Caenorhabditis elegans: one gene and its partner. The protein of the gene in region 1 purifies or fractionates together with the protein of each later gene. This does not show direct contact. Each region holds a gene or a part of one and is shown in the gene's direction. Other genes may lie near its edges.

Evidence for each region.
Region 2: the proteins of oac-56 (region 1) and fbxa-150 fractionate together in Caenorhabditis elegans (co-fractionation; one large-scale study listed by BioGRID). This does not show direct contact.

What each region holds. Positions count from the first base shown.
Region 1 is NC_003282.8:14,345,325-14,355,493, reverse strand, and holds oac-56 (Acyltransferase), read left to right. Parts: upstream 1-4,742; 5' UTR 4,743-4,763; coding exon 4,764-4,867; intron 4,868-4,923; coding exon 4,924-5,016; intron 5,017-5,045; exon of another isoform or gene 5,046-5,066; coding exon 5,067-5,238; intron 5,239-5,734; exon of another isoform or gene 5,735-5,755; intron 5,756-5,852; exon of another isoform or gene 5,853-5,873; intron 5,874-5,976; exon of another isoform or gene 5,977-5,997; intron 5,998-6,131; exon of another isoform or gene 6,132-6,152; intron 6,153-6,280; exon of another isoform or gene 6,281-6,301; intron 6,302-6,560; coding exon 6,561-6,689; intron 6,690-6,742; coding exon 6,743-7,078; intron 7,079-7,126; coding exon 7,127-7,247; intron 7,248-7,285; exon of another isoform or gene 7,286-7,306; intron 7,307-7,336; exon of another isoform or gene 7,337-7,357; intron 7,358-7,749; exon of another isoform or gene 7,750-7,770; intron 7,771-7,965; coding exon 7,966-8,273; intron 8,274-8,280; exon of another isoform or gene 8,281-8,302; intron 8,303-8,400; coding exon 8,401-8,521; intron 8,522-8,571; coding exon 8,572-8,680; intron 8,681-8,773; exon of another isoform or gene 8,774-8,794; and 13 more.
Region 2 is NC_003283.11:20,517,485-20,527,653, forward strand, and holds fbxa-150 (F-box domain-containing protein), read left to right. Parts: upstream 1-5,113; 5' UTR 5,114-5,136; coding exon 5,137-5,285; intron 5,286-5,710; coding exon 5,711-5,796; intron 5,797-5,841; coding exon 5,842-6,410; intron 6,411-6,623; coding exon 6,624-6,766; intron 6,767-6,832; coding exon 6,833-6,977; 3' UTR 6,978-7,028; downstream 7,029-10,169. Other genes in the region: Y38H6C.25 (FTH domain-containing protein), read left to right, coding at 1,809-2,012, 2,303-2,578; Y38H6C.9 (DUF38 domain-containing protein), read right to left, coding at 2,896-3,028, 3,147-3,283, 3,337-3,854, 3,898-3,983, 4,746-4,786; srh-166 (Serpentine Receptor, class H), read right to left, coding at 7,216-7,403, 7,444-7,747, 7,813-8,006, 8,064-8,382; Y38H6C.24 (Transposase), read left to right, coding at 8,969-9,071, 9,171-9,253.

The sequences.
Region 1 (10,169 bases):
AATGTTGTTCTGAAATCCTTTATATCCATTATTTCGGAATATTCATTATTTCCAGTAAGGCTAAAAACAATTTTTTGAAACAGGAAATATTTTGAGCAGTTTCAAAAGTTTTTTGCACATAAAACTGGAAATTAACAAGTTTTAGCAAATTAGAAGTTTGAGTCAAACGTGAAAAATCATTTAACCGTTTCAGCTCTTTCATAGATATCCAATAAGTTAACAGATTGAGTTCTCAATGTAGTAGTAAAAAGTAGTAAAAACAAATTTTAAAAAAATGTTTCGAATAGTTTTTGTAAGCCTCACAATGAAATTTTAAAAAAACAAAAGACAATTTTATATTTTCACAAATAAAAAACTTTTGTAATATTATGCACACGTTTTTGAAATTAAAAAAAAATAAATCAGAAACACTTGCGATTGGAAACATTGATACATTCAGTTTACTTTAAAATATTATTGTTATTAAAACATAAAGAGAAGATGCAATAGAACTGAAATTGAACAATTGAGAAAAATGAAACAAACTTGAAAAGTAATCATAATATCTGAACAGAAACAGAAAACTTCCCAACTCTGAAAAAATTAAAAATTGTACATTTGTTTCATAGTTTTAAACTGATTCTGAAAATATTTTCATCATTTCAACAACTCAAAAATCTCATGGAAATGGTCCAATTTTTGTCGCTATTTGGATTTAAATCATCACTTTGTATAAATTTTTGCAAGGAGGAGCCGGAAGAACTGGAAGTTCAATTTGAAAAATTAAAAAATTTCAGACTGTTTCGCATTCTTCATGAATATCTGAAAAAGTTGAATGTATTGATACAAAGGTTCCTAGAAGAATACGAATTAAATCACTGCGCTAACAAAAACAAACTGTTTCACGTGGATTATTCCTTGTTCAACAATTTTTCTAACCAATATGTTCGATTTTTTATTTCAAAACTATCTGTTAAACAAATTTTCAAAATGTTTTAACGCGTTTTGTAAGCTGTTTTCGGCTTGACTCGTTTTAGGTATGTTTTGGTAATTGTCAAATGGAAAATTATGTGAAAAACATAAAACTATAAAATGACGTTAAAAATTCAGAAAACATCTTTTTTCTTTGAAGGTCCATTATAGTTTACTAAATACTGTTTCACATTTATAATTTAAGCGTTGAATACTTTTTCAAATTATTAGATTGATTTTTTTATCATCAACACCGAAATTGATTTTAAAATTAATTTTAAATATTGTTTCAAAACTTGCGGAAATTTTATTCAAAATTTAGGTTTTGTTTTAAACATTCCCTGTAGAAAAGCACGACATTTATTAAAATTTTCTTTTTTTAGCTGATATAAAATTACAGCCTTCTCAAACACAAAGTTTTAGCAACTATAAAGGTATACTGAAACAAAACTATTTTTCAGAAACCACACTTAAAACATAAATGAAAAATTAAGTTGTTGTTATAAATTTGTAATTTGTAAACTGCTTATTTTATTTTTTCTTGCATTTTTTGTAGCCTGGAATTTATGTTTTTAAAATTTAAAAAGTCAACATCTACCAGACTAACTTAAATACGCATTCGGAGTAAAAAAATTGTCTTAGCATCAATTTGGGCAATAGTTTATTTTGAATTCGATATTTTCATTGCATTAGCTTTCAGAAAATATATCATTCAACCCATAACTCTCTTGTGACCAAAAAAGAGTCCCTAGTAAGACGACTAATAACAATCTTGGACGATTAATGTTAAAAAAGGAAACAGTATCTGTAATTTAAAAAAATTATTTCAGTTACTCGAATCAATTATTTTTTCCCGAGTGAAAAAACGAGTGAAAAAAATCAAGAGATCAAATATTAAGTCATATCTGTAGAAAAGCGGAACAAACTTGAACAGTAATCATGATACTATCTGAACAGAAACAGAAAACTTCACAAAAAAAAATTAAAAATTGAACATTTGTTTCATTGTTTTAAACTAATTCTGAAAATATTTTTATCATTTCAGCCACTTAAAAATCACAAGGAAATGCTCCAATTATTGTCGGTATTTAGATTAAAATCATCGCTTTGTATACATTTTTGCAAGGAGGAGCCGGAAGATCTGAAAGTTTAATTTGAAAAATTTAAGAATTTCAGACTGTTTCACATTCTTCATGAATACCTGAAAAAGTTGAATATGTCGATAACGATACAGCCTTACATGTATTATTATTGACTTTTGAATTTTTCTAAAATAATATCGATAAAATTACTGCGCGAGCAAAAAAAATCTGTTTCACGTAGATTATGTATTGTTCAACATATTTTCTAACTAATTTCTTTGAATTTGTATTTGCGAAACTATTAAACAAATTTTCGAAGTTAAAAATCTTGAAAAAAAATTTTATAACCGTTTATAAATCTGTTTGGTTATTATCATATTTTGCTAAAAAAAAATTTCAATTTATTGTTTAGGCATTGAATATTTTTTTCAAACTAATGTTGATTTTCTATCTTCAACACAATCTTGGAAGATTAATGTTAAAAAAGGATGTTGAAATTGTCAATATTGTTTGAAAACTTGAGGAAGTTTTATTCAAATTTTAGGTTTTATTTTACAAATCCCGTGTGGAAAAACACGATTTTTTTTTCTGAAACTCTACAATTTATTAATTTTTTTTCTTTTCTCGCAGATAATAGCTACATTTTACACGCTTTTACTACGTTTTTACAACGATGAAGGTCTAAGGTCTACTAAAACAAAACCATTTTTCAGATAAAAAACTGAAAACATAGATGAAACATCAAATAGATAAATTTGTAATATTTAAAATGTACATTTATTTTTTCTCTTTTATTTTTTGTAGCCCATAATTCTTATTTTTTAAGTTAGAAAACTTTTTAAAAAACTCCAGCAAGAATGAAGAATAACAATCTTGGTAGATAATGTCTAAAAAAATTTTTGTTGAAGCAGCATCTGTAATTTAAAAAAACCATTCCAATTACTCGAATAACTTATTTTTCCCGAGGGAAAAAATAATCAAGATTGGAAAGATTTCCGCGCATCAAGTATTTTCCTAATACAAAGAAAGTTCATATGATCAATTTGGCAAAACCATAAAACAGGAAGCAGGAAAAATCCGGTATTATGACCTGAATAGAGTGGCTAAACTACACACACACGAGAAGAAGAATACCGTTCATTTGCGTACACAATTTTCTCGATGATCATTCGTTGTGAAATAAAATTTTTATTGGAAAAATATTTATTCAATTTTCAAGCTGAAAAAAATGAAAGAAAAATTTTAAAACTATATGATTTTGTTAACAATCGTGTTTTTTTCTTTAAAACCACTGAAAAATTGTTTTAACGAATAAAAACTGGAAATTTTCACCATGTTTCTGTATTTTTTGTATTTTCACAGAAATTAACTGATCATATAAGTAACCAGTGAAGAATATAAAACCGGTTTTTACTGGATCCTAATCTAAATCCTATGGATGTAGTGAATAACTTTTTACTTTTTATTGCAATGTAATGAACATTTTTACATGTTTGCAAAGAAACCGAAAAAAAAGGTCTTTTGTCAACCTTTTCTATAATTTGTTTTGCTAATTTTGAAACATTTTTTTCATTTTTTCACAGTTTCATGTTATTGGTTTGTTAATAGTAAGACTAATTCCGTCATTCGGACCAGGGCTGTGCGGCTGGCTGATATTTTCGGCTGTCGGCTGAGAACAATTTATCAGTCGGCTGTCGGCTGGTGCTACCAGCCGAAAATCCCAAAATTTTCGGCTGTCGGCTGGCGCCGCCAGCCGGCTGGTGTTTTTGGTTAAGTATTGCAAAAAAGTTTCGAAGTTATTTAGTATACTTTTAGTACAAAAACATACTATAGCAAAATATTTCATCATTTTATTCATCAAAAAACCAAATTTTCTTATTTTTTCCACTTGTAGAACTTGCATCTAGTGTCAAAATATGTCAAAATGTCAGTTAATTTTTTTTCAAAACGCCAGCCGAAAACTCTAATTTGGGGGTCGGCTGGCGCAGCCACCCGACCTTTCACTATCAGTCGGCTGTCGGCTGGCTGCGTCAGCCGACAGCCGCACAGCCCTGATTTGGACTTTAACTTTTTTCAAAAAATTTAATGTTTCACCAATCCGTGATATTTTTGTAACAATTAAATATGTTTGTTTTTTTGGTTTTTTCACGACTAGTTATTTTCAATAGGAAAATTTTAAAAACTTCCTTTCAGAATGTTCTCTCTTCATAATTTTGAAATTACCTTCATTTTTAAATAATTTTAAAACTAGATATTTTATAAAATTATAGTTCTGGATGATTTTATACTACTTTGAAACTTTTAAGGATGTGTTTTTCAATCCTGACCTCCTTAGAAATTGTGTTCTTTTTTGATTGAATTTCTTGAGTTTTGTTGGTTTAGACGTTTTGTTTACAATTAAAAAAAAATTGAGAGCCGTGCACATTTTGCATTTAACAGAATTTTGCCATGTCGAGACCATGTACCATATTTTTGGCGCAAATTTTTTGCATCTAGGTTATTAGCGATTTCTTTGTTTTAATTTTAATTATTTTTAATCAAGAAAATACAAGTGTAAAGGCGCAGAACCCAAATCTGAATCTTTCCTTTTTCCGATCCAAAAATGACAATATTTACCGAATTAAAACTTAAAAATATATAACAATTTTAGCAACTATGTGAAACATAACTTTTTTCAAATTTTCCTCTTTACCATAAATTTCAATTCAATTTATTCCAGATTTTACCACAATGCGAGAAGACATCCAATGCCTTCGTGGTATTGCTATAATCTTTGTTTTACTATTTCACTTGAACCCTAACCTATTTGTTAATGGATTTCTCGGTGTTGATATGTAAGCCCTGAAACTATTTTTAATTTTTGAAATCAATATTTATTTTTCTTTTTTAGATTTTTTGTGATATCTGGTTTTCTGATGGCTAAAAATTTAACAAAGGCAAAATTAGTGAAAATTCATGATTTTCTGCTGTTTTACTATATGAGGTTAAGTTGACAGCATTTGTGGTGACTAATGTAAATCCAAATTTTTATAGATTCCGTAGGATTCTACCAATGTATTTTCTGGCGGTTTTCCTGATTGTTGTAATGACACAGTTGTGTCTTGGAGATTTTTTGTGGAAGAATAATAATCGATATGCGTTGGCATCGCTGTTCATGGTGACGAATCAGCTGATTATTCATGATCAGGCAGATTATTTTAATGAGGTAAGAGAAGAAAATTCAGATTTATTATGGGAAGTGTGTAGTTTTGTTCACTTTTTCTGTTATATTCACTTTTAAAATTATTCTTTCCTAAAAAATGAAATTTCAAAATTTTCGGGCATTCAACCCGAATGCTTTATTCATTTTGCTTTTAATATTCATCACTTCTGTGGAACAGTAACTTTTTTATCCAATATTTAAAACAATTTTTAAGCTAAATGTAGCAAAAAATTATACAGCAACTTAGTTTTTTATAAGTTTATCGTGTATTTTACCCACTTTATATGTTATATTCACTTTTCCAAATTATTCTTTCGCAAAAAAATGAATTTTCAAAAATTGTGCAAACTATACCCCTTGTGAGTTCAATTCTACCACAATTTTTTTTTACAAAAAGTGTCCATTCCTTCCATTTACTGCAATTTGATAATCCAATATTTAAAACAATTTTCAAGGTAAAAGGATTTTGGAAAAAACTTAAAATTTTGTTATGAGAGTTTTCATAATGGTTTTAAAAACAGCTCCAATTAAACGACATTCTAATATTTTTCAAGTTTTGGAAATGGTGAAAATATGAATCATTTAAGTATAGCGTGTATAACTTTTCATGTAATGATTTCATTCTAATAATTTCCTTAATAGATTTTAAATATATCGAACAACTTTTCTTACAAACTTGAAACAGTGTTTAAAATTTTATTCACAATGGTCAGAAGCGGCTAAAATAGTTACACATCTTCTCTATTTTCAACAAGTTTTGTACTGAAAGTATATTAAAAAAGATACAATTATGAAAATTTATCGAAATAGTTTTTTAACTTGATATTCAATTATTTAGTCTTTGGCAAAAGGACATTAGATTTGTCTATAAATGGCAGGAACTCTGATAATTTTTTTTTAGCTATTTAAATTGATTAATGATTCAGAAAAATGTTAAGCAAACTTTCAAATTTATTTGAAACAACATTTGAAAACTTTTCAACTTTCCTCGAGTTGAAATTATGCCACAAATTATTATAAAATCATTGTTAAACTCTCTATAAAAAAGTTGAATACAATACGTTGAATGCTCTCTGTTGGTAATTGGTTTTAAATGACAGAATAGAAACCGTAATTTTTTTTTCTAAAAATTTCAAAATTATTTTGCAAATTTATTTTCTGATTTGGCCTATTTTCTGGTGTTTGTTTTTAAAATGAACCCATTTTAATGGTTTTTTTTTTAATATTGAAAATAATAATTTCTAAAAGTTTAGTCAGAAAAAGTGTTCAAAACTTTATTTTGCCGCAAACCCCGCTGGAAATTGTCAAAATATCCAATTTTCCAGTTTTTTGCCGCCACGTCTTCAATAAACGGGTTCCTTCATCTATGGTCCCTCTCCTTGGAAATGCAATTTTATCTTTTTGTTCCAATTATATTTTTTGGACTACAATTTCTGAAAAATGACTATCTGAAGGTAACTCGTCTTTAACAAATTTTTAATTTTTTTAAAATTTTTTAATGTTTCAGCTAGCGACTGTCTTGATAATTTCAGTTTTCGGTTTCATTGGTTTTGCCCTGATCTTGGACAAATTCGCGTTCAACTTCATGTTCCTCAGATTGTGGCAGTTTTCTGTAGGATTTTCTGCTCTTTTTTGGAGCAAGATTCAAGAAAATGGAACACCTAGTAAAACTGAGAAGCCTAGCACTTTCACATGTCCATTGACTAAAAATGACCTGGTTACTGTATCCTTGTCAGCGCTAGCACTTTGTCTATCAACTATGGAGATTAAAGTTTTAGTTCTAAGACCACTGGTTACTGTAGCAACTGCTGTGATAATTGCATGTGAATCGAAAAATTTTCAGGTAAGTTTATAGCATAATATTTAACTGAATTTAAAACAGAAATTTCAGTTTCTAAAATCCCCGACACTCGGGTATATTGGGGATATTTCATATGTATTGTACCTGGTTCATTGGCCAGTTATTTCAATTTTCTTGATTTCAAACGCCAGAAGTTATATTTTCTGTATCAGTGAGTTGGGATTTATTTATTGAAAAAATAATATGTAATCTACCGTTTCAACAAACTGTGAAGTAATGAATATTTTCAAAAGTATTCAGTTATGTTAAGATCCATGATTCCTAAATAATTCCGATTTTTCGTCAGTATACTAGACTACAGTCTCGTTGTGAAAATGAAATTTTAGAAAAGTGTGACGTCACACTCGGACTTGATTCAGAAATTTTTTAACCAGCTGAGGAAACTGTTTAAAGAAAAATTTTCTTAAAGTTTAAAGCCCAAAATTTAAATTTCACAAGATTTCACGATAATACAACTTTTAGAAAATTTCGCCGTTTCATAATGTTAATTTGAAAAACTTGTAGTAATCAAATTTAAATGGCATTTATTATCGGTTTCTTGAAAATTGGCAATAGAGTTTTAGTTTTAGTTTTTTAAAGGTTTTTTTTTGACATTTGAAGTATTTAACTGTTTCATGTTGGTTGTTTAAAGATAGTTAATGTTTTTAGAATAGTCATCCTCGAATCAAATGTTAAAAACTTTGATTTTTTTTCAGAATTGCTCTCCATCTGAAAGTTTAAGTTTCACGCATTTGAAAAAACTAATTTATTTTTAAATTTAAACTCTCTTCTCAACTGACTATTTTATTCTCAAACATGTACCCTTTTCCCAAAAATAATATAAGATTTCAATTACTCAATAGATTTATTCTATTCAATTATACTTTCAGTGATCATATTCATTTCATCAATTCTTCTCCATCATCTTTTCGAGAAACAATACCTGAAATTGGACATGAAAGGAGTTTTTCCATTAATTTTCCTACTAATCGCAAGTAATGCATATTTTCAATATAGTGTCAGAAATGACACATTTTGGATGAACAATTTCACACCGGAAACTCGAGAAATTATCGACAAAAACCTGGTTTTGTATACTTCGCTTTGGGATTTGGAGCCAAAAAAGGATAAGTGTATCGAAAATGACATTGATGTGCCTTTTCCGAAAAATGATCTCAAAGGTTATTGTAGATTTGCGGTGAGTAAAAGTTAAGAGAAATCAGAAAACTTTTTACTTTCTGTTTCTCGATTTTTGATGAATTTCGGAAACAGTAATTTTTTGAAAAAATATTTTTTAAAAGTTACATCTAGGATTTCATTTTAAGCCAGGAAAAGGCAATTTATCAGTCATGATGATTGGAAATAGCTATGTGCTTAACTTCAGCGAGCACATCCGAGCTCATTTTAACTACAACTATTCAGATTATCGATATATGTCAGTTATTGGTGAGTTATAGATCTTATTCTGGTATTCTTATATTGAGAAACATTTTCAGCCAGTTACGGGCTTTTTTCGGACCACCGTTTGCTTTCTCAGCAGGCTTTGGAATTTTCAAAGAAACAAGTGGAATTGCACAAGCCCGACGTGCTTTTCATAGTGGCAAGGTAATACTTATTTCATTTAGTAACATAAACTTTCAAAATTTTATTGTGAAAAATTATATAAATTAAGAAATGCTATTTTTTTTTGCTTAATTCTGTACATAAAATATATGACAAATATTTTAGTATTGGAAAGTTTTTTTTATCAACATTGTGAAACATCAAGTTTTTTTTTCAAGTAAAAAAGGAATTTGTCATTTTACTTTAGAAACAATGTCTCAATGAGCCTGCACTCAATAATTGTTTTATTTTAACGAACATTCATTTTAGTTAATTGATCTGGAATTTTTCAGATATATGAATAACATAAAAAATCCTGTTCAAAAGGATGATAAGATTGTGCAACAAATTAATGAAACAATTGCACATTATGAAAAGTTAGTTATAAAAAATCCTGTTTCAAAACAGAAAAAAAAATATTTTAGATACGTGAAAAAACTATACATCCTGGACGCATTCCCAGAGTTTCATGAAAACTTTTTGAACTTATTCCTGCACTACGCTGTAACTAGGCCAGATGACATGGATGCTCTGCATTTGAGTAAAAAGTTGGCGGACGACGAAAAGAGACCGGTGGTGAAGAGATTCAGGCAGATAAAATGCAAGAAATGCCACGTGGGTTTTTAATTGTTTGTTTTTTTTAATTATATGAATAATTTATAACAGAAAATAAAAAGTTTCAAATTTTAATTTTATTGGCGTATACAGGATGTGATGAAATTTAAGAAAAATCTAATTTTGTAATTCTTGGATTTAAAAAATTAAAATTTGAACTTTTCAGTAAAACTTTTTTGGTTTCCAAGTTTACTGAGTTTTAGCAACGAACACTGAATAAAACAACTTCACAAAACAGTTTCAATTGAAATAATTAATATTTAATTCTTATAAGCTTAAGCTTTGGTCCCTAGTTTAACAATCCGATTTTATAATCAAAAAAATCATGAAGTCAATGGGAAACTGTACGGGAACTTGAACGTAATTGCGTCAAAAATATGTTGTTGTCTTCAAATTTGGAAAAACAAGTCAATTTTCAGTTCTGAACAGTGTACTTTCCATAGATTTTGAAATAAAATTATGAAAAGTTATAAAAACTTCAACTCGAAAAAGTTTTGTTTTTAACTCAGATTTTCACTATTTCATATCCTTCATAAATTTCTGAAAGTTTTAATGTAAACGTTACTTTTCGTATTTATCTTTAATATTTCCAATTCCAGTTCTTCGATCTCAGTCCCATGTTCCTGGAAGATGACAAGTACCTGACATTCGATAAAGACACAATGTTGGCTTACGTGGATAATTCCGTACATCTCACAGGCCCTGGGGTGAAAGTCTGTGAGCCTGTCTTCAAGAAAATTGTCACGGAAATTATGGATAGTTTTTAAGATAATTGTCTGAGTATGATGATTTTATTATTGAAATAAATTAATTTATTGATAACCTTGCAAATTGTCTAAAGAGTGAAAAGATAATTAATAATTTAATTTTGGACTCA
Region 2 (10,169 bases), on another chromosome or scaffold:
GAGGTTAAACTGGTATACCTTCGAAGATTCTCAGCTTGTCGAAGGAATCAGCTATTTTATCGACCAGCTTCATTTCGACGGTGGAGCACTGACGAATGTTGTTTCTGAAAACATAGAAATCAATAAAAATTAAATTTCTAGGATTTGTTTTGCTAGTTATTAACAATCAAGATTTATCTACGAGAATTTTCGTATTTTTTTGAATTTTTTATCTTCCAGGAAGTGTGAAATTTCAGAAAAATTGGAATTTTTGAATACTTTCGAATTCTTGAAACCAAAAAAAACTGAAACTTTGATTTTGAAAGACTTGTTTTTAATTTCCGAATATTTGGGGTTTTCAGATATTTTAAATAAATTTTGTAAAACTTTAATCTTTTGCGAATTTTCAAAAAAATAAAAAAGGTCTTACCTATCCTCAAAACTCAAATTCCCGATCACCATTCTCTTCGCCACTTCTGGGAGCATCGGCCATTGCTCGAATCTTGTGGGTCCTTTTTTTGCACGGACCGCTCGGTACGCCGGGTCCTTTACGGATTTTCTTCGTTGGGTCATCACTTTTGATAATTTAAAACTAAAAAAATAAAATTTAAAGATTATTTAAAAAGAATAAGAGTAAAATAAATAAAAAACGCGAAAAATCAAATCGATCTGGGGACAGAATAGGGAATATGCAAGAACATGCAAGAAATGGAGACCAAGGGAGAATGAGAGGGGTGGAGGGTGTGAGAGAAAGAAAGGAACTCTTTGGGAACACGGGGAGGCAAACTTTACGTACATACACTAATTTCTACAGTAGTCGCATTTTTAGAATGGATTTATCTCGAAAACGGCTCAAATTTTTTGGAAGTGATGCATATGAAAAATGTTCTACAGAAAATTCTCTATTTAATGACACCAATGAATTTTTTGTTGATACCCTCTCACCAGTGGTATGCTCATTGAGCAGTAGAGCGCACTTTCTCGGACGTACCGTTTGCCTCCCCGTGGGAAGAGAAGAGGTCACCAGCCGTATGGTCTATGAATAGCCGAGCCAACTAGACAGACTGCACGCGGGGTCGTTTCGGTTTGATCTACAAAAATGCGCAAATTTGTAGCCCATAAAAATGACGTCAGCAAGTTCTTACCAATGAGAAATCAGTTGAGAACTCTGCGTCTCAACTCCCGCATTTTTTGTAGATCGACGCAGATCAAACCGAAAGGGGACACTCTGATACCACATGAGACGACTGTTCATAATTTCAAATCATACAATTAGTGGTTCTCATAATTTTTCGGGTTTGCAAGTTTTTACTTTGAATTGTAAAAATCAAGTACAGGGAACAGTTAAATTAAAACCAATTTAGTTTTAAAAAATTTAGTTTAAAAATTAAAAATAACATTCCTCCAAATTATCATATACATGAATCGCAGAAAGAGAAGAAAATTTAATGAAATACATTAAAATTGGAACACCGTGTAAACTCCCTTTTCTTGGGAGGTTAGATGAGCAGGTGTGTTACTGTAAGCGGCGAATCGAACTATCTCTATTTGTTGTGTAGACAAAGTTGAACATAATTCAGGGGTACGTGATGATTTGTGTGTAAATTCAGCAACTCTCTGATTTCACATACATGCACATTTCTAGCCCCGACGTCAGTAATCTCCGGGGAGACTTCCCACACATACCCTTGCACCTTTTGGCTCCTGTTGCCCACGGCGCCACCGTCAAGCCCTCCTCTCATTTGTACCTTGTCTGCGTTTATAGCTTCTTTATTCTTCTGTTTGTTACTACTCGCAGCTTCTGCTTCGATAAGCTGAAACTGAGAGAAATGTCCGATTTCTTCAAAATCGAATATAAGAAGGCGAATGAAGGCCCTCCACTGATCTTGAACACATACAAACGGAAATTCACGAATGCTCTCAACGTATATGTGCACAGTCTAAGAAAAACTGCTCGGCAACTGCTCGTTCAGGACAATATACAAGTTCAGTTGGATTGTGCGGACTATCAACTCATTGAGTGCATTATTAATGTAAGTATTGGAAAAAATCAATGTTAGGAATTTTAGAAATTACTGTTTAGTCAGTAATAAGGGTACTGCCAAAATAGCCAGGGACTCTAACTTTTCTCCTGTCTCGTTGAAACGGGAGTCTTGACAGGGTCCATCCACTAAAGTAGTGAGCTTCTGAGAATTTGCCCATTTTCCGTTTAGTGCTATGTCACAGGTCACAAACCACAAAATTGACGGATATAAAAAATTAGCCTAACATATAATTAGTATATCTGAATGTAAGAAGATGAAGAAAACCATGAAAATTTCAGCTTCGTCGTCACGAAACCCCTCTCCTAACATCCACGTTCAACATCAACGTTCTTGAAAAAATGGACTTAAGCCCATTTATGAATAAAACCGACACCGTCCAAACTAACACGAACAAGGTTTTTCTTCACATTCCATTTATGAAAGGCAACAAACACAATCTGGAACACATTATGATCGTTCGACTGACCCCGTGGCATATCAGCGGAAAAGTCATCAAAACTCCGAAAACCATCGAAGAGCTCAGATTGGCGTTGCACAATTCATTCGAGATTTGAAGTTTTTTATGTGATGATTTTGTTGAGTCAGTAATTAGCTGTTCTTTTTTATTGGTTGCTATTAGTTTCAAGTGTTTGTTGATCCTATGTCTACCTCACATAGAATCACCTCAAATTCATCAATAAAGTCGTCAGTTTAAAAATAGATGTACGAATATTCTATGTTTAATTAAGTTGATACAAGAAAAAACTTTTTGTGTCAGTTTATAGTTTGTAAATATGAAATTTGATCTCGAGTGAAATGGGGATATTTCTATAAATCAGCAGCCGACATTGAGCAAGGACTTTGAAAACGTGTTGTTAGTAAAGAAGTACAATTAACGGTTACGGTCAAAATCCTTCAAAATACAATCACGACGGCAGATGGATCCATATAGAACACGGCGCCACATACCAACCACCAGAAGTTTGTTCCGATCTTCCATGTCGAAGAGTTGAACGTGTTCAAAGCTGACAAAAAATTGGGTTAGTGAGATTTATTTAACACTCAAAATAACTTTTAAGCTTCGCTAATTGAAAGTTATCTCGAAAAAAGTGAAAAAAATTAAGAAAAAGGTTTAAACCTCACCAAGTAATTTCTGCAATCTCTTCCTCGTTTTTTGGCTGAACATCAAACAAGCGAACAATTTTCCCACTCTTTACATAATTATCCACGAAAATTTTGAAAAACGAGTTAATAGGAAGTTGTGGTCTCGAGCGGAAATTCTGAAAATATTCAAGAATTTTATTGAGTGGTTTGAGTGGTCTCCTGTTTTAACCTTTATAATTTCCCAAGCATCCTCGGGCTCCAAATCACAAAGCGACAACTCTAACCGTTCGGCATGTTGCAGGAAATCATAGTTAACTTTGAAAGATGAATCGAATTTTAATAGTTGTTGCTCCGACAGAACCCTTGCTTCCAATTTTATGTACTTGCACATTTTGAATTGCTCCAGTTCAACTAATTTCTCAAAAATGGCACCGGTTACACAATCCACGTAGATTTTCTCCAGATAACCTTCCTTGAAAAGTGCCAAAATTTGCGCAGCCCAACTGGAATTTTCAGCATTTTTTCGAAACATTATCTCTTTCCCCTTAATTTTTACTTCTCGAGTTTCAAATTCCGAGATTAAAGTTGAAAACACTTGTTCGGGAGTTTCAGGCATATAAATAATCACTTTTTTGGCAGTTGTGCTTGGATTTTCGAAAATTCGACAAAGTTCGTGAACCGCCCGTGTTCCGTGAAATGTGAGACTTTCTATAGGGATAGTATTGATTTGTAGGCAGACTTCCAATTCTGGAGAAAAATAGAAATACACAAATTTTAGAATAAAACCTACTTTTTTTAAGCTCCACGTAGTCAAACGAATTTGGAATTTTGTCTGCTAATCTCATTTCCATTTTTGCGCATTGTCGAATTTTGCATCTATGCATGTAAATTATAACTGTTAACTTTGTAGTTTGTAGTCTACGACGTCAAAAAAATTTTTTTGGACAAAAAACCTTAGAAACTCAAATTTTGGGAAACTCCGAATTTCTGATAGTGAGAAATTTTTTTGCTAGAATTTTTTTAGTGCAAAATTGAAATTTTGTGATAAAATTTTGGCAGGTAATACAATTGTTTTCAGAAAATAAACTAGTTATTTTTGACAGGTTTGACATATTGATCTAGTTGTGTCCTACCATTTACCCATAGTCCACCTGCTCATGTATCATCTCACCTTTTCCCGTATTGTTACGAGTGAGCCCTGTGTGGCAACAGTCACTCTTTGTATCGCCAACCGCCTAAAAGTTTTCACACTTTTCTCCCTTTCTCACTTATTTATTGAACCCCAATGTTTTACTTTTTCAAAAAAAAAACGTACTATTAGTGTGATGTTTTAAATTTTCAGAGTCTAAAAAAATTTGGTGCAAAACTTTAATTGAAACATTTTTGAAAATTGTGGCAGGAAGAATTTTCAATTTTCAGAAAATATAAAATGAACCAGTTATAATTTTTTGAAACTACCTCATGATTCTAGTAAATCGGTAAAAAACCAAAATTTTTCAAGAAAGATTTTTTAAGCACTTTTCAGAATTTTCTAAAAATACGTACTTTAATTCTAAGTTTTTTAGTTTTGAATTCTCACCGCAATCGAATTTCTTCCGAAAGTTATTTTAATTTTCCAATGCTTAAAATTAAACTAACCTCTCTCCAAAAGTCAAATATTTCATTACTTCCAACTTCATGTCCTCCGGCAGTTCAGGCCATTTTTCGAAATTTCTCATTTTCTAATAAATTGCTGTACAAAATAAAATCCAATAATTCTTGCCAAGAAAAAAAAAACGATACAGAACCATTATTTTTCACATTTGCATTATTTCGCAATATGTTTTCTTTTTTGTCTATTTCTCTAACCCTCTCGTTTTCCTTGCCTGCCTCGAATGTGACAAATATTTTATGGTTTTGACTTTTTTCATTTTTTTTTGCTGAAAAATTGACGTGTTTTTTTGAATTGAATCATCGCTTTCGTTTTAATGCAAATTTTGCAATATTTCTCAATATTTTTCTTTTTATTTCAGATTCTCAAGAATTGGCTATGAAGAACAAACCGGATTTACCTTTGCACACAAAATGCGACAAAATGAGCAAAAAGAAAAATCTCAAAAACAGAAAATTCAGTCAATGGCAAAAATTGCCTGAGGATATTATGAGAGAAGTACTGAAACAGCTGGATTTTGAAGATAGGTACGAAAAAATTTTCTGACTGTTCTAATAATGAAGTTTAAAGAAAACCTTTAAAATAAACTCTCAACAAAAAAAATCAGCTGCGGTGGAGCATTTTGGTCCTGAAAAAAAGTCGAGCGGAGTTTTTGCAAATTTTTGTTGATTTGGAAACTGTCTAGGTTAGACAAAATTCTGAAAGCCCTTTGAAAATTTTTATTTTTTCTATGTATCTGAAAACTTTTGGTTGAAAAATAGAATATCCCGCCAAACATTTTTTAGAAAATTTGAAGTTCCCGTCGAAACATTTTCTTTCAAAAAAAAAACTAGAGTTTCTCTTGTTTCAGTGAAAAAGTATTTTCAAAAATGTTTTCTGTATTTCAGACTATAATTTTAGAATGAGCTCTCTCAAAAAAACGTGCAAACCAAAAAACACCAATAATTTCCAGAAGCATCATCCGTCAATGTTCACGCACAGAAATGATTTTGGCTGACAAAATTCCAGAAAACTTGAACAGTATCAATTTTCTTGAAGGTTCGTGTCCTTCTACAATTTTTGGAGAAAAAAACATTCATTCAGGATCCGACCCAACCAATAAGAAATATTATATCTTCCTGGACATTGACAATATTCCTAACAAAAAACTTAAAAATTTCAATCAAGAAACTAGGATGGCCGTTGGAGTCGGGGCAGTTGAGACTTTCTGTCGAATTTTCCGTAACAAAAACTCAAATGCAAAACGAGTTGTGTTCGAATTCCCATTCCGATCGACTCATCGTTCAATTATGCCACTTTTGATTTCAGAACTTGAAAAATCCGAAATTATTATCAAAGCTCGAGAAATCGCAATAGACTGCAATGAATCTACGTCGAAATGGATTCAAAAGCTCCTAAGCCGCTTCGAAATGGAATACCTAGAAAAAATCACAATGAAATCGCTGAGTGGGAAGGTTTTTGACAAACTGAAAATTACCGATCATTTCAAGAGAGCTAAATCCTTGGATCTTCACGCCAAGAAGAATCCGAGGGGGTACACGCCTGGGGTAGATCAAACTGTCGTAGTGGACTATGCCATGCTGAGCCACGTGGAGAAATACATGCTCACAGTGCATCAGCTGGTACCGGAAGATGCTTGGAAAGTGATCAAGGTGAGACAAGAAGGTAGCTGTCCAAACCTTACCAGGTCCACGTAGAGATCCGCATTTAGGCACTTGTCCGAACAAGTAGGCCGTAGCCCATAGTTAATTTGAACCCTTGCCTAATACTTCTTTTACAACAATAAAGATTAAATCGTGGGTCGCTCGGTGCTGTACCAACTTTATTCTCAATCTACATACATAGTCATCACATCAAATTTTTAGAACTTCCGCTCGAGACCCAACCTACCCATTGGCTCGTTTTTCAACATTGAGGTTGCTGTAATCATTGATCACTTGCAAGTTTTGCGCCAATTCGATGTTCAGCCAAAGCATCAGCCTCCTACAATTGCCGCATTACAATTGAGGTGAGTTTTAGAGGAACATTTTCGATAGTTTCCCATTGAAACTAAATATAAATATTTCTACTTCAGCTACCCAGCCTACACTTATCACGTGCAGTTCTTCGATGTAGAGGACTCCAACAATATTCTCGTTGTCTCAATCAGCATATTTGATGTGACTGGATCAATTTGCAGCCGGGATCATATTTGGGAAACGTTTCGAACGAAATTTTAGTAAATTTTAATTATAAGCACAAATTGTTATCAATGAATTATTTTATATCACAGAATAGTTTTTAACTGCTTGTCGGACACCAGGCACAAGATGTGCGTAACGGGTACTAGGGTACTAGGGTACTTGGGTACTAGGGTACTATGTAGAGTACTAGGGTACTAGGGTAATGGGATACTAGGGGACTATTGTACTGGGGTACTGGGGTACTGGGGTACTGGGGTACTAGGGTACTTGTGTACTACGGTACTACTCCTGTTTCATTGACTGATTTGTTCCAAACTTGATTAGGTTTCTGTACGACTCGTTTGAAACTAATTCCAAATACTTCCAAAGTCGCATTTCGATAAGGTGCGTGCACGGTCAGCATAACAAACGTTGATAGACCTCCATGAAGTGCCATTGTAAATACAGCAAGATTATTGGCTTCTAAAAGGCTTCATTACTCTGCAAACTTTACGAGGCTTACCTTGATTGTAATAACCGACGACAACAACTACAACGCAATAACCGGCTGGAATACAAATAGCGGAAATTGGAATGGCTACTTGTAAGCACATTGCGAAGAACAACTGTTTTTGCAGACGAGTTGTGGCTCGCGATTTTGATTTCAGCGTGAAAAGATACCAAAATATACTTAAGATGAAAAATGCGCCCTGTGGGAGAATAACAAGAGCCGCGATTCCGAGGCTCAAGTAGAGCGGACCAGATTCAGTGATTAATAGAAAAAAATCGGGATGATTTATTTTTTCTTCTGGAATGCAGGGATTTGTCTGAAACTCAATACCTAATTGTTTAATTGGGTCCAAAGATTTCAATGCTAGAGGACTAAACTAACCTCCATAATCATTAGTTTTCCAAGATTTTGATCGGGAATATTTAAAAAGCAAGGTAGAATGAACGTTATTGAAATAATATAGTGAATAGCAATGTATACAACGTACTTCCAGCCACGTTTTCTATCTACACCTGGATTTCTGATTAACTTGTGATATCGCTCCTCGAAGAACATAAGAATCGCCATTCCAATCACTGAATTTTAATTTTTAAAAAATGGTTTTCTGTTTACACAACCAGAATAAACCATACCTCCAATAAGGGAAACCCCTACGTAGGCTTGAAAAACAGTTGAAACCCCAAGCATCGTTAGTACTCCAAGTGGATATACGGCGCAGGCAGGTAAAAGGAATACTGGAATTTCTAGGCAACTCATATAAATGTCTAATAAGGCACCCGCCAAGTGAAGAACCAGCATATTCGTTCTTACATTTTTCATATTGTTTGGAGTCTTTGCTATGATAATATAAGCACCGAAGATATGAATAGGAACCTCGAACGAGGTAAGGATGTGAAGAGCATTTGCATGATATGTGTCTTTATCAGATAATATTGGAGTTTTGCTACACATTCGACAAGTGAAATTAGCAAAGGGAAGTTGAAATGAAATGAGAATGTTTTTGGCGTTGCATTCCAATTAATTTTGTTAATTAATTTTGCTGATTTATGCTGTCAGGCTTCTCTGGCATTTATTTGAAAAAAAAGAACGGCAAAAAACACAACATACCTAAAATGCTCATTGATAAGGTTTAAAATAAAGTATTGGTCCACAGAAAACCATCAAATTCAGAAATTTCAAGAATTAGTAAACACTCTATTTGCTATGTAACTCTAAAACGACTCTGTTTTTCCGCGATTTATATTTATTAATTATGAATCATATTCGTGTTTCCTGATCACCTTAACAATAATCATTTCTTATCAAGACAAAACTCCAGACATTAAAATCACATCACAATTTCCTTATCACCGATAAGGCTCTTTCCAGGTGACTCACTTGTTTAGGAATTCACTACAAACATAAAATAAAGTGTACTTACATATATTTCGTAACCCCAAACCTAGGAAAAGGAAATTGGAAAAAGTAGGCGTGTCCTATTAGTGCTCAGGGTGGTGAATATATATTAAAACGAAGCCAAGTGTTGGAGATTTGGAAAATGTCAGTTAACATCGGTGCAGTTTTGATGATTTTCGTGTATGCTATCAATTTTTATCTGTTATTTCAAGGTTTTGATTTTAAAAGCAGTTTTAGGAGTGAAGGTAAGGGATTTTTCGTTTTGATAACTTCTTTTTTAAATCAATTTCATGAGTTAATCCAACTTGGTAATTTTAACAACTGTGTAATTTTCTTGATTTCAGAAACTCTAATTGATTCGTATAATGGTAGTATTCAAGAAAATGGAAAACGCATTATGTTCCAAGGCTTATCACTTCGATCTTGATTTTAAATGTTTTGTTTTTTATCCTTTTAAGATGTGTGATCTCATTTTTCATTTTTTATCTGTTAATTGATAATAAATGTGATTCAAATTGTATTAAAAAGTTTTTTCAAGTAGTCTTTCTTTCCTAAAGCTAAGGGGGGTTGCTTCCCAAATTTTTGTTTAAATTAATGAAAATCTTATGAGGAACAAATCTTATTCTCTATGACTACATTAAGCAAACTCAGCAGATTAGCTCTTTGCTTTGCTGCCCAACGATGCACTGATGGGTCTCTGAGTCTTCAAAATGTTGGCCAAATTAATAGGTTTCCCTGGCCAGACGCAGATATTACGGACATAGTATAACATACTCAGAGGTGCGCAATATTCTTGTGTTGCCAATATTATCATCGTTTTGGTTACCATGGTATTATTTGGGGATCTAGCTTCAGAGGGAAAGAGTGAAATGAGCTAATTGAAAAACGGCATCATCAAACCCTGAAATTAACCGGAATACATATGTCATGCCTGGATGTCCCACTACGATTTGATCTACAAAAAATGCGGCAATTTTTTCCCAAAAAAATGTGACGTAAGCACCATGTGAAAGTTGAGAACTCTGCGTCCCAATTCCTGCAATTTTTGTAGATCTAAATAGATCAAACCGAAATGGAACACTCGGACACCACGTGTATACAGGGAGTTTACTGTAAATTAAATACTTTAACTGGAATTTTTGGAACTAGACTAGTCTAAGAAAGGGTGCTTTCTTGGTGAGGCCTCTGTTATGACGAACTCTGTAATTTTTTCTACTACGAAGGTTCTCCGATGCCTTTCCTGCAATTACTGGAACTAGGAGGAGGCATCTCCAGCTTTGGGCTCAAGCATCACGGGTTGTCAAGGAAACATCTGAAACATCCAAAAATTTATTTATTTTTTT